Caenorhabditis elegans: one gene and its partner. The protein of the gene in region 1 purifies or fractionates together with the protein of each later gene. This does not show direct contact. Each region holds a gene or a part of one and is shown in the gene's direction. Other genes may lie near its edges. The genes, in order: C46E10.8 and Y32H12A.7.

What was found.
Region 2: the proteins of C46E10.8 (region 1) and Y32H12A.7 fractionate together in Caenorhabditis elegans (co-fractionation; one large-scale study listed by BioGRID). This does not show direct contact.

The regions. Positions count from the first base shown.
Region 1 is NC_003280.10:3,725,315-3,730,154, reverse strand, and holds C46E10.8 (C2H2-type domain-containing protein), read left to right. Parts: upstream 1-2,090; 5' UTR 2,091-2,136; coding exon of another isoform or gene 2,137-2,465; 5' UTR 2,466-2,720; coding exon 2,721-2,786; intron 2,787-2,834; coding exon 2,835-2,891; intron 2,892-2,940; coding exon 2,941-3,003; intron 3,004-3,066; coding exon 3,067-3,219; intron 3,220-3,262; coding exon 3,263-3,361; intron 3,362-3,404; coding exon 3,405-3,485; 3' UTR 3,486-3,833; intron 3,834-4,039; 3' UTR 4,040-4,305; downstream 4,306-4,840. Other genes in the region: Zinc finger protein sdz-12, read left to right, coding at 1-3; C46E10.1 (uncharacterized protein), read right to left, coding at 4,306-4,555, 4,604-4,679, 4,730-4,840.
Region 2 is NC_003281.10:5,381,659-5,387,284, reverse strand, and holds Y32H12A.7 (ABC1 atypical kinase-like domain-containing protein), read left to right. Parts: upstream 1-1,878; 5' UTR 1,879-1,881; coding exon 1,882-2,064; intron 2,065-2,233; coding exon 2,234-2,328; intron 2,329-2,513; coding exon 2,514-2,703; intron 2,704-2,752; coding exon 2,753-3,334; intron 3,335-3,683; coding exon 3,684-3,890; intron 3,891-3,981; coding exon 3,982-4,287; intron 4,288-4,664; coding exon 4,665-4,850; 3' UTR 4,851-4,998; downstream 4,999-5,626. Other genes in the region: Y32H12A.8 (WDR59/RTC1-like RING zinc finger domain-containing protein), read left to right, coding at 91-441, 598-1,236, 1,379-1,447; Y32H12A.6 (Flavodoxin-like domain-containing protein), read left to right, coding at 5,295-5,492, 5,559-5,626.

The DNA.
Region 1 (4,840 bases):
TAATTGATAAGATTCTACTGCTTAATTAATATTTTTTCTTGTTAAAAGTACTCAATGAATCTCGTTCTCGCCCTTGAAGGAAACTGATAATTGTTGATAACTACGGTAACCTACAGTACCCTATTCTATCGTGATCACTGATTTTATGGAGTAATCAAACAATTAGTTGGTCTTCAGAATACAGGACTGGTAGATCAAACTACGCATAGTTTCTTTTTCTATCTACATCTTCTTCACTCTCCTTCCCATTTGCTCTCTGCCAATACCGCGCGCCAAATCGATAATTGCGCCCCACCAAAACACTCTGCGCGGGTTCATTTATTCCTTCACCTCTACTCTCTTATCAATGGACCTGCCTGAAGCTCAAGCTCTTGTGCCAGTTTATTCTCAGGTACTGTAAAATTTTCACAAATTAATTAATAAAGGATCCATTTTTTTTCAGGAATTGCGCAAGGTGCAACAGTTCAAGTAATTACATTCTCAGAAATCTCTGAGCAATCACATACGGAACACCAAATGTGGACTTGGGCTGTCTTCTTACGAAGACGTTAGTGCTTAATAGATAGCGTTTGGCATCATAATCTATCTATCTCTATCTAACTCTATCTAACTTATCTATTTCAGAGGTACACCTGCGAATTCTGCGGATCGAAATACAATTACCAAAGAAGCCTGGTCAGTCATATGAAAAGTCATCTGGAAACTGAAACTGCCGCTTCTCCAGCTCCTATGCAGACCAACTATCTCACGTGTCCTATTGGTCAGTGCGAGATGAAGTTCAGTTCGCAAAAGATACTTCTCGAACATCTTTTCTGTCGCCACATAGGCCAGGTGCAAGAAGTGTAAAGCTCCGTTCGCCAGTGTTCAAGGACTCCTTGCTCATTTCAAAGAGAAACATTGTGGACTGAAGGTAGAATCAGCGACAACGTCAGCAGACGCCGCGCAGAACACTTTAGGGGAGTTATTGAATGCGATGGGAGCTTCTTTGTCAGCAGAAAGAATAGATGGTGGGCCAAGTCAGGAGCTCAGCAAGGAAACGGATTTGCAGGAAAGCTTGTTCATAGAGTCTTCAGCTTTAGCTTCAGCCAATGGATGGCCACAGCTTTCCGTTGATAGTCAAAGTTCGGGCACCAGTGGTTTCCCAACGAGAAGCAGGCTCTTCGAAGAAAAACCATTGACCTATATCAACATTGATTCTCTTCCCTCGTCTTTTAGCCTCACAACTATGGTAAGAGTTTAAATTGTATATTGAGCAAAATCTTTGGTTTTCAGGTATCTACTCCAGCTCAGTTGCTCAGCTCTTTTCCCGGTGTTGCGACAACGCCAGAAGCTTTTTTTGAAAACTGTGAAGGAAAGTTGTGGAATTCCTTGGAAGCTTCTTTGCCGTTGAAGATCAATGATGGAATGCCAAACCAGGAGTTCGAAAAGCAAGCGGATTCTCAGAAAAACTATGGATCACCACAGCTCAGCGGTGCCACCCTTGATGGTCAAGGCTCAGTGAGTTCAAGGCTCAGTGAGAGAAAGCTCAAGTACGCAAGTGATCTTCCGACAAGCAGTAATGTTTGTGAGCCAGCCAACTCATTGAGCTCGACGAGGCACCAAACTCTCACCGGTTCTAATGGGGTAAGGCCAGTAAGTTTAACTTCATGTAAAGAGCTTCTCCCTCTACAACAAACTTTTTCCAGGTTAATCGCCAATTCAAATGTGAAATCTGTGAGAAACAATTCGCCAACAAGCCAAACTTAAACCGCCATCGAAAAATTCATTCTGGAACAAAATCCAAGAAGTGCAACATTTGTCAACAAACGCTTCACAGAGAGAATAGGGTATGCTAACTAATTTCATTTTTATATACTTTTCAGAATTTTCAGCTACAAGAGCATCTGTACACACATCTCAAAGAACGATCTCATTTCGACTGCCCCATGCTGAACTGTTTTACGCAATTTCGGTCTCATTTGGAAATTCAACGTCATCTCGAGCACCACCACCTCGTTTCACCACACAATTTGGCTCCGTGTAGGAAATGTCGCAAGCACTTTGGAACTGCCAAGTATTTCCTGATTCATCACTATTATTATCATTCTACGGTGAGAAAAAACTATATAATGCTTCAAAACTAATACATCTTCTCAGGATCTGACCTCTTCGGCTCCAGCGTCAACTTGCTCAACCAGATGGTCACCTATGACCGTATCAACTTCAGAATCCAGCTCAACTTCAGAATCCAGCTCAGGAATGCCAACACTGCAAGATCCAATTCGACGATGCCCCAATGAGCCTGTTGCACAATGCCCTTCACGCTCCAGGAAGCCCATTCAAATGCTCATTTTGTGGAGCTGAGTGTGAAGATAATCTGGCGTTTACAATTCATATTGTTACTGCCAATCATAATTTTAGTGGACTTTAATTGATAATTTCGTACTGTTAAATAGTTATTTTTCGTAACGCCATTCAATAAATCTAGTTTTAGTTCTCGAGTGAAACTTAAAATTGATATATAATATGAAAAAAGGTTTTTCGGGCGCCCAAAAACTGCCGAATAGTCTTTTTTTGAAGCTTATTAGAAACTACACATATTTTCTTTCTTTCTCTGCGTCTCTCTTTCTGACCTCCCATTTGCCCTCCGCCAATACCGCGCGCTCAATCGATATTTGCCTCCAACACTCCATTCCGTAAAGGGGCATTCATAACCATTTAAATACTTTTTTCTTCTATCAATGGACCTGCCTGTAACCCCAGGTGCTCCCAATTTTGCTCAGTTGCTTGACCCAGTTCATTCTCAGGTAACTTTTTCCACGTTTGTTTTCAAAAGATTCAATTAAAATATTCAGGAGTTGGGCAAGTTTGTCTACCAATGCAAAGCGTGTAGCAGAATTTACGCGAGCAGGGTAAGAGAAAACTTTGCTCCAATTATAGTTCCAATTATCACAATTTCAGAAATCTCTGAAGTCCCACCTGAAGAGCTACAAATATGCTCGGGAAGTCGCTGGATACAAAAGTGTGAGTTTAGTTTTTTTTACTGAACAGAAAATCCCTTTGTGTTGAAACTCTACCTTTTTCCAGAAGCATACATGCGAAATCTGCGGAGCCCATTACTCAAGTAAAATATACTTGAACCGCCATATGAAAAAGCATCTGGAAACTGCTGATTCTGGAGCTCATGCAATTCCCAGTCTGGGCTCACCTGCTCCTTCTTCTTCAGGCTTTGCAACTATGGTAAGAGCTTTGAATTGTGTTGAGCAAACTATTTGGGTTTTAGATCGTTCCACCAGCTCCGTTGCTCAGCGCTATTTCTTCTGGATCTCCACAGCTCGGGGACACACGTGTTCTCGCCTCTTTTTCGTGCTTCGCGCCAATGGTAAGAATTCATTATTGTGGTATGGAAAAGCTTGGATTTTCAGATTTCTCCGCCATCTCAATTGCTCAGCTCCATTCAAAGTGATCAAGCAGCTTCGCAGCACAATCATCTGGAGAGATGTTGAGAGCGATAGAAGCATCCTTGTCGTCAAAAAGCAATGATGGATTCGGCGCGTCAAGCCAAAAGCTCGGCGAGCAGGCAGATTTGCAGAAAAGCTCTGGATTATCAGAGCTCGGAGAAGTCACCCCAGATGGTCAAACCTCTGTGAGTTATTTGAAGTTTTGGCGTTCAACTTAGGCTGACTATTTTTTGGAAGTTTCAAACCCCACGCGCTCTGCCAACAAACAGCAAGCTCTGTGAACGGGGCGAATCGATGAGCTCAATGGGATCCCCAACTTTCAATGCAGATCAGTTACTTGGCGAATCTACCTCGATGTTCCATGGAGCACAGAAACCTCAGCAGCCAAAATTTGTAAGTTGTCAAAGCTCGCATTTCATGAGGGCAGAAAAACACCTTCCTATCTTTGAGAAGGTGTACTTTTGCCACATAGGCACGTATACACCTATGCATCTGGCTGCCTAGGCATCTAGGCACGTAGGCACCTGTGTATCTGGGTACCTAGGTACCTAGCCACGTAGGCCTAGACCTGAAATTTTGCTCTAAACACTTGTTTTCAGGAATGCGAGCATTGTGAAATTGAGTTCAAAGACGCTGTGCTGGGCCAGCTCCACACCAGTTTCCACACGATCGGCAACCCATTTCAGTGCTCACTTTGTGGAGCACAATGCTACAATGAGTACGCCTTCAACATGCATCTTGTCCAATCCAGTCACAATTAGTTTTTGTCTTGCTCCCTGTTTTATATTGCTATAATTAAGCATGTAAAAAAATAATCATTTTCATTCGTGTCCAGAAGTTTGAATTAAAATCGAATAAATCGAATCTACCGGAAAAGCATCAAAAGTACAAAAATGAGCACAACCTTCTTGAAACTAGCCGATGCATTCATCTCCTCATCAAAGCACAAACGATCCGTCCCACATCCTGTCAAATCCTCTTTCTGGCCGAGAGCAGCAGGTGTCGGCTTTTGTGGTGGTATTGGAGCTGGGGTGGTTTCTGCTACTGTCGTTGTTGGCTCAGGAGTTGTGGTAGTTGTTTCGTCGGCCGCGTATTCTTTCACCGGTGTTGGTTGTCTGAAAATATGGATTTTAAATTTGAAAAGTTCACCAGCAACTGCTCACTTTTCACAAATTCCTGCGATTTCACACAGAATTTTGATGTACTTGTGCAAATACGTGACCTCCACCACCTCCATATCTGAAATTTGAAAGATGCTTTCTTGTAGACGGATTAAACCAATTTCTCACTAGATTCGGGGCGATTCTCAATGCTTCTACTAATCACCCCGGCTATAACGGATTTGTTCGTCTCGTGGTAGTGAATATTTCCGGTTACTTCAGGAACACCGGCATAGCAGA
Region 2 (5,626 bases), on another chromosome or scaffold:
CATCTCAATTTGGAAAGCGACGGGTTTTGTTCGATTTTTAGAAGAAATATTTTGTTCTTGATTTTTTAAATATAATTTTCTGTGTTTCAGATTTCTCTGACTGAAGAAGACGAGGAGAACGATGATGACAAGTCTCCAGTACTCAGAAATACAGATATAGTTCAACCGGCGGCTCCAAACGCGAAATATCTTGAAATGGAGGATTGTGAAGAAGAAATTGAATGGCTCAGAAGTATGCACGAGGGATCAGATTTCCATAGACGCAGATTTATGGCTGTATTAATGTATAAAATGGCTCAGAAGGCAATTTTCCGTTTTGCACCACATTTGGCTGATTTTGAGAGAGGACGGAAAAGATTCCAACATTTGCTTACTTTACATGCAAAGCAGCGTCCATTGCTTGATATGATGATCACTAAAGTTCGGGGAACTTATTTCATGGTTAGTGGCAAGAAGTTCAAAAGAAAAGTCTTCCCAAAATTTTTTTTAGATCACTTTTTTAAAAACAAAAATCTGAATTTCGTTCCACGATCAAAAAAATGCAGATCTTTTATTTTAATTTGGAATTTAAAAAGTACTATTTTCAACAATTTTCAGCCGCTAGAAACCAACATGTTCCTGTATGATTCCAAATTGATAACATTTGCGGAATTAGTTGATTCGGAAGTTCATCCAAAAGAATGGAAGGAACGAAAAGAGACATTTGAAGAAATTAGACGACAGACACCGAAAGATCCAAAATCAATGTCTAGATTCCTGAATATGCATAATTCGGGTTCTGATTCGGATTCTGGTTCAGAAGTTCGATCGGATTCATCTTCGTCTCTTGGTGGATCAACTGAGTCTTTGAACAGCTCGAAAAAAGGAAAACGAGCTCGCCGAGCAATGAACAAGGCACAAAGAGAGCTGATGCTTTTAAAACTCCGATCGAAACCTGTAAATCCAGAAGAAACATTTGCTCTGGAAAAACGAGCAATTGGAGCAAAAAAGTGGAAGGTTCGACGAAAAATCAACGAGATGTTGGAAGGAATTGCGGATCTTGACAAATTTAAGATTGAGGCGAAGCTTCCGGCAAAAAAGAAAGATTTATTGAAACATATCAATGAATTAATTGTTGAAAATTCTGATACAGCACACTGGTCATGGGGTGATTTGAAAATGCAGACGAGAATACGAAAGATTCCACCAGCAAATAGAATGAAGCCGAAGCATATTAATCGTATTTTGAAGGGAAAGGTATGGAAAAATAGTTTCTGAAAGTTCTAAATGTTTGAAATATCTATAACAAATGAGCTTTAATGTTTTCTAGCAGTTCTACATTTTCAGACCCAAGATAAAATTCAAAGAAATTTTTTAAAAATAAATCTTTTTTTTTCAGAAAATGTACAAACCGCCGAAAAAATACGATCCAAAAGATGCGCAAACTAACGGACGCAAGTGGTTCTAGGAAGGATATACAGTTTTCTTCTTGTTTTATATATATATTTTTTGTTAAATTTTTTGTTATCTTTATCTCATTTTTATAGCCATTTTTCCAATGTATTTCGTATTCCCCTCAATTGTTCTCCCATTATTTTTTTCAAAATTTTGAAATTCTTTCAATCGCTAGTGATTATAAGGTATATTTTCAATATGTGATAATTTTGTATATATATATTTGAATCGATTTGCGCCCATCAAATTGCCTTTCTATTTTTTTTTTCTCAAAAATTATGTTAAATTATTTGTTTGTTCTGATTGGATTTTATGTGATATAAGATTGTTTTATGATATTTTTTTCGGGTCATCCTTTTAATTTGAAAACTGGTTCTAGAATCCTGAATTTTATCTTCTTCTGTAAACTTTTTTCAGAATTTCCAATATTTTCATATTTCCAGAGACATGATATTCGGGTCGACGAGGTTAATTTTGTACAGGTGCTGGGCTCACAGCAGAGCCGTGAGCTCTAGAAATTTTAAATTAGGAATTGTGCTCGGAATGGGTGGAGCTGTGTCTTTAACAAGGTTACGGACATTAAAATGTGAAGCAGAGCATCAAGATCCATGGCTTCTTGTTCCACAGAAAGTAAGATCGAATTTTAAAGTTAAATATTCAAACTTTCAAAATTTTATAAATGATTTTAAAACTTTCAATTACGCAAAAACTCTAGAATTTTATTCTTCACATCCAATTTTTTTGCATAAGTTTTTAATTTTTCGAAGAAAAAAATCCCATAAAATATCAAGATTTTTAGAAAGTCGTAGTGGAAAAATCAACGATGATGGGCATAATAACTCTACCGATTACATTGATCGTTGTCACTTATAAAGCAATAAGGAAAATGTTCAGGTGAGCAATTTTCTGAAAAAAATTGTCTTGCAATTTTTTTTTAATTTGGAGTTACAATGAAAAAAAATAAATTTCAATTTTTAATTGTACAAATATTCCAAAAGGCAACTTTTTATATCTCTGATCTGAAAATAAAAATGCTAAAATATGATTTCCTGGAAAAAAAGAAAATAAAATAATTACAGATGCATTAGCTTATTCCTTCGATTTTCTCCAATTCTTCTCACTTATCCTCTGACAAAAATAGAAGCATTCGAGAATCTTTGGTGGAGATATCTTCTGTGGTCTCTTCAACATTCTGGACCAACTTTTATTAAATTAGGACAATGGGCAAGTACACGAAGGGACATCTTCACAAAAAAGTTTTGTGATCGGGTGAGATTTTGATTTTCTAATCATCTTCAATTTGTATTTTCAATTTCAGCTCTCCGTGCTTCATATTCAAACTAAAAACAAGAGATTCTTCCGTGATAAGAAAAAAGTAATGAATGAAGTATTTGGAAAAGGATTTATGAAATTGCATGGAAAACAAGTATTTCTCGAGATTGAACCATTTTCAATTGGCTCAGGATGTATTGCACAAGTATATCGAGGTACTGTAGATATCTCTGAACTTGAGAAGGCTACTGGAAAGGAATACCCAGAGCTTAAAGGACGTACAACACAACGGATTGCTATTAAAGTGGCTGATAAAGATGTTGATAAGCAAATTGAATTGGATCTTTCAATTCTGAGAAGTGGAGCATGGTTAATGCAACATATTGTACCGGCTCTTTGGTATTTGGATCCAACTGGAGCACTTGAACAATTTGAAATGGTACTTCGGCGACAAGTTGACTTGAGAAATGAGGCGAAGGCTTTGAAGAAGTTTTCAGACAATTTTAGTTCAAAAGAAACTGGAATTAAGTTTCCAATTGTGCTTGGATATACTAAAAATGTAATTGTGGAAACATTTGAAGAAGGAATTTATATTAATCGATTGGTTGCAGAGGAAGGACAGCCAGAGGTTAGAAATTGGAGATTTGGTAGAAAAAATATGAAATAATTTTCCAAAATAAACTTCCACTCTAAAAAATTCATTTTGCAAAAAAACTTTTTTTTTTCAAATTTTTATTGCGTAAATTTAAAAATAAAAAATTAATTAGAATTTTGCCAATAAAAAAATTATTTTTCAAAAATCCGAAGATAGATTTTCAAAAAAAAAAGGTATTTTTTTAGATTTTTGAAAACGAAACATTTTTTCGTTATTTGTTTTTAAAAATTATTGATTTCGAAATGGTTACTAAAAATAAAATCGAACGTTTAAAAAATATAGAAAAAATAGATTTTCGGGATTCCCTCCAATATTCAATCAGTTTCAGCTAACCGCCCGACAATCACAAGCAGTTCGACGGAGAATTGCTTTGCTCGGAGCCCGAGCCCTTCTCAAAATGATTTTCGTCGACAATTTTGTGCATGGTGACCTGCATCCGGGAAACATTCTGATTCGATTCAATGATAATGAAGATAATCTCAGAGGAGTACACAAGGCGCCGAAAGCAGACAGTGCACTTAAAAGAGGGGTACGGGTTACTGTAGATATTTCGATTTTTTTGACAAGTGCAAGATAAAAACAAAAAAAAATCTGATGGATCATAATAATTATTTTTGCAGCTGGAATGGTTTCGTTCACTGGTAAACTTGCGTTCAGCTCCAAGAATTCGTTTCACCGACTCTCCGGATCTTGAAGATGAGCCTACTCTGGTCCTTCTAGACACTGGAATTGCCATTTCCGAAACACCGAAAAATTTGCACAATTTGAAATCGCTTTTCAGAAGTGTTGTGGAGAAACGGGGATACGATGTCGGGAAGCTTCTTCTTCATCAATCCCCCTTCCAACAGTGCAATGATCCGGAAAGGTTTTGCCGACAAGTGGAAAAGCTTGTGTTGAAGGCCAGAAGCGAAAAGAGCTTGAGAACTGTGCGTTTTAAACGAAAATGTTTCAAATTTTAATTTATAAATTGGAATTTTAATTTAAAAAAATCGTAAAATCTTGAAAAAATGTATAAAATTTTGGAATTATTTCTGAAAATTGTCAAAGAAAAATTCAATTTCAAAAATTGACATCGGAAAGAGTTTTAGTTTAGTTTTTTGTTTTAAAAATACAAAAAAAAATTGAAAACTAACAAATTCGAACAGTTTGAAATTTTAGAAAACTAAATTTAAATCAAAACTATGTATTTCCGATTTTGTTTCAAAAATCAGTAACTCAAGAAATTATAGGTTTTTTAGTTTCGAAATATATTGAAATTGAAATTTTTCAAATAAAGTTCCCTCATCAATATAAACTTTTTCAGCTCAATATCTCGGCACTTCTCTCAGAAATGTTCACAATTGTGGCGGAGCACAAAGTGGAGCTCGACTCGGCTTTCACTACAGTAATCCTGTCTGTAATGGTTCTCGAAGGATTCGGCCGATCTCTGGATCCGGATCTTGATCTCTTCCAATGCGCTAGACCGTTTTTATTAAATGTTCTCGTATAGTGGACTTTTTTGCGAAAATCGTCCTTTTCAATTGTACAGTTTCAGAGTAGCTTTAAGATTTTATAGTTTTAGTATTTAGAGATCTTCTTTTTGTTTCATTGGGTTTTACGCATTTTTCAACTGTTGCTAATAAAAATGTTCAACAATATTTTCTGCTTTTCAACTTTTTAAATTTTTTTTCGGAATGCTGGTCTCACTGTCCAGTTCTATTACTTCTTTTTCTTAGCCAGTTTGATTTTTTTTCCAATTTTTTTTACTTAGATGCCTGCTGTGTGGTGCTCCTTGCATGATGTGTTGTGGTGTAATTTTGGTACGTTTTTAATGAAGAAAATGGCTATATTAAAGGCGCAGACACTTCTCTCAAAACTAAATCGGTGTCTACGTTTTGAATCTTTTTATTATTATCTTATTTGAGAATTGCTCGAATTTCAGTAAAATATCCAAATGTGTGCCTACCAAGTTCCACCACTGCGACCTGAAGGAGGTCCACGTGGCAAGGAGCCGCAGTCGTGGCTCGAGGATTATTTGGAAGGAAAGGACGAGATTCTGCTATACATAACTGCCGCTTTGGGAGTTCTGATGCCGGGATTTGTCTATCTGCTCTATCGCAAGTGCCATGCATATTATGAACGTTATTCAAAGGTTGGTAATAGTGGAAAACAAAATCAACAAAAATCTGGTCTCGCCACGACTTCCAATTTCTTTCAGAAAAAAGAAGAAGAACGACTTGCCGAGGAACTTGCCGAATCAGAAGCCGTCGTAATAGTTCTAGGAAA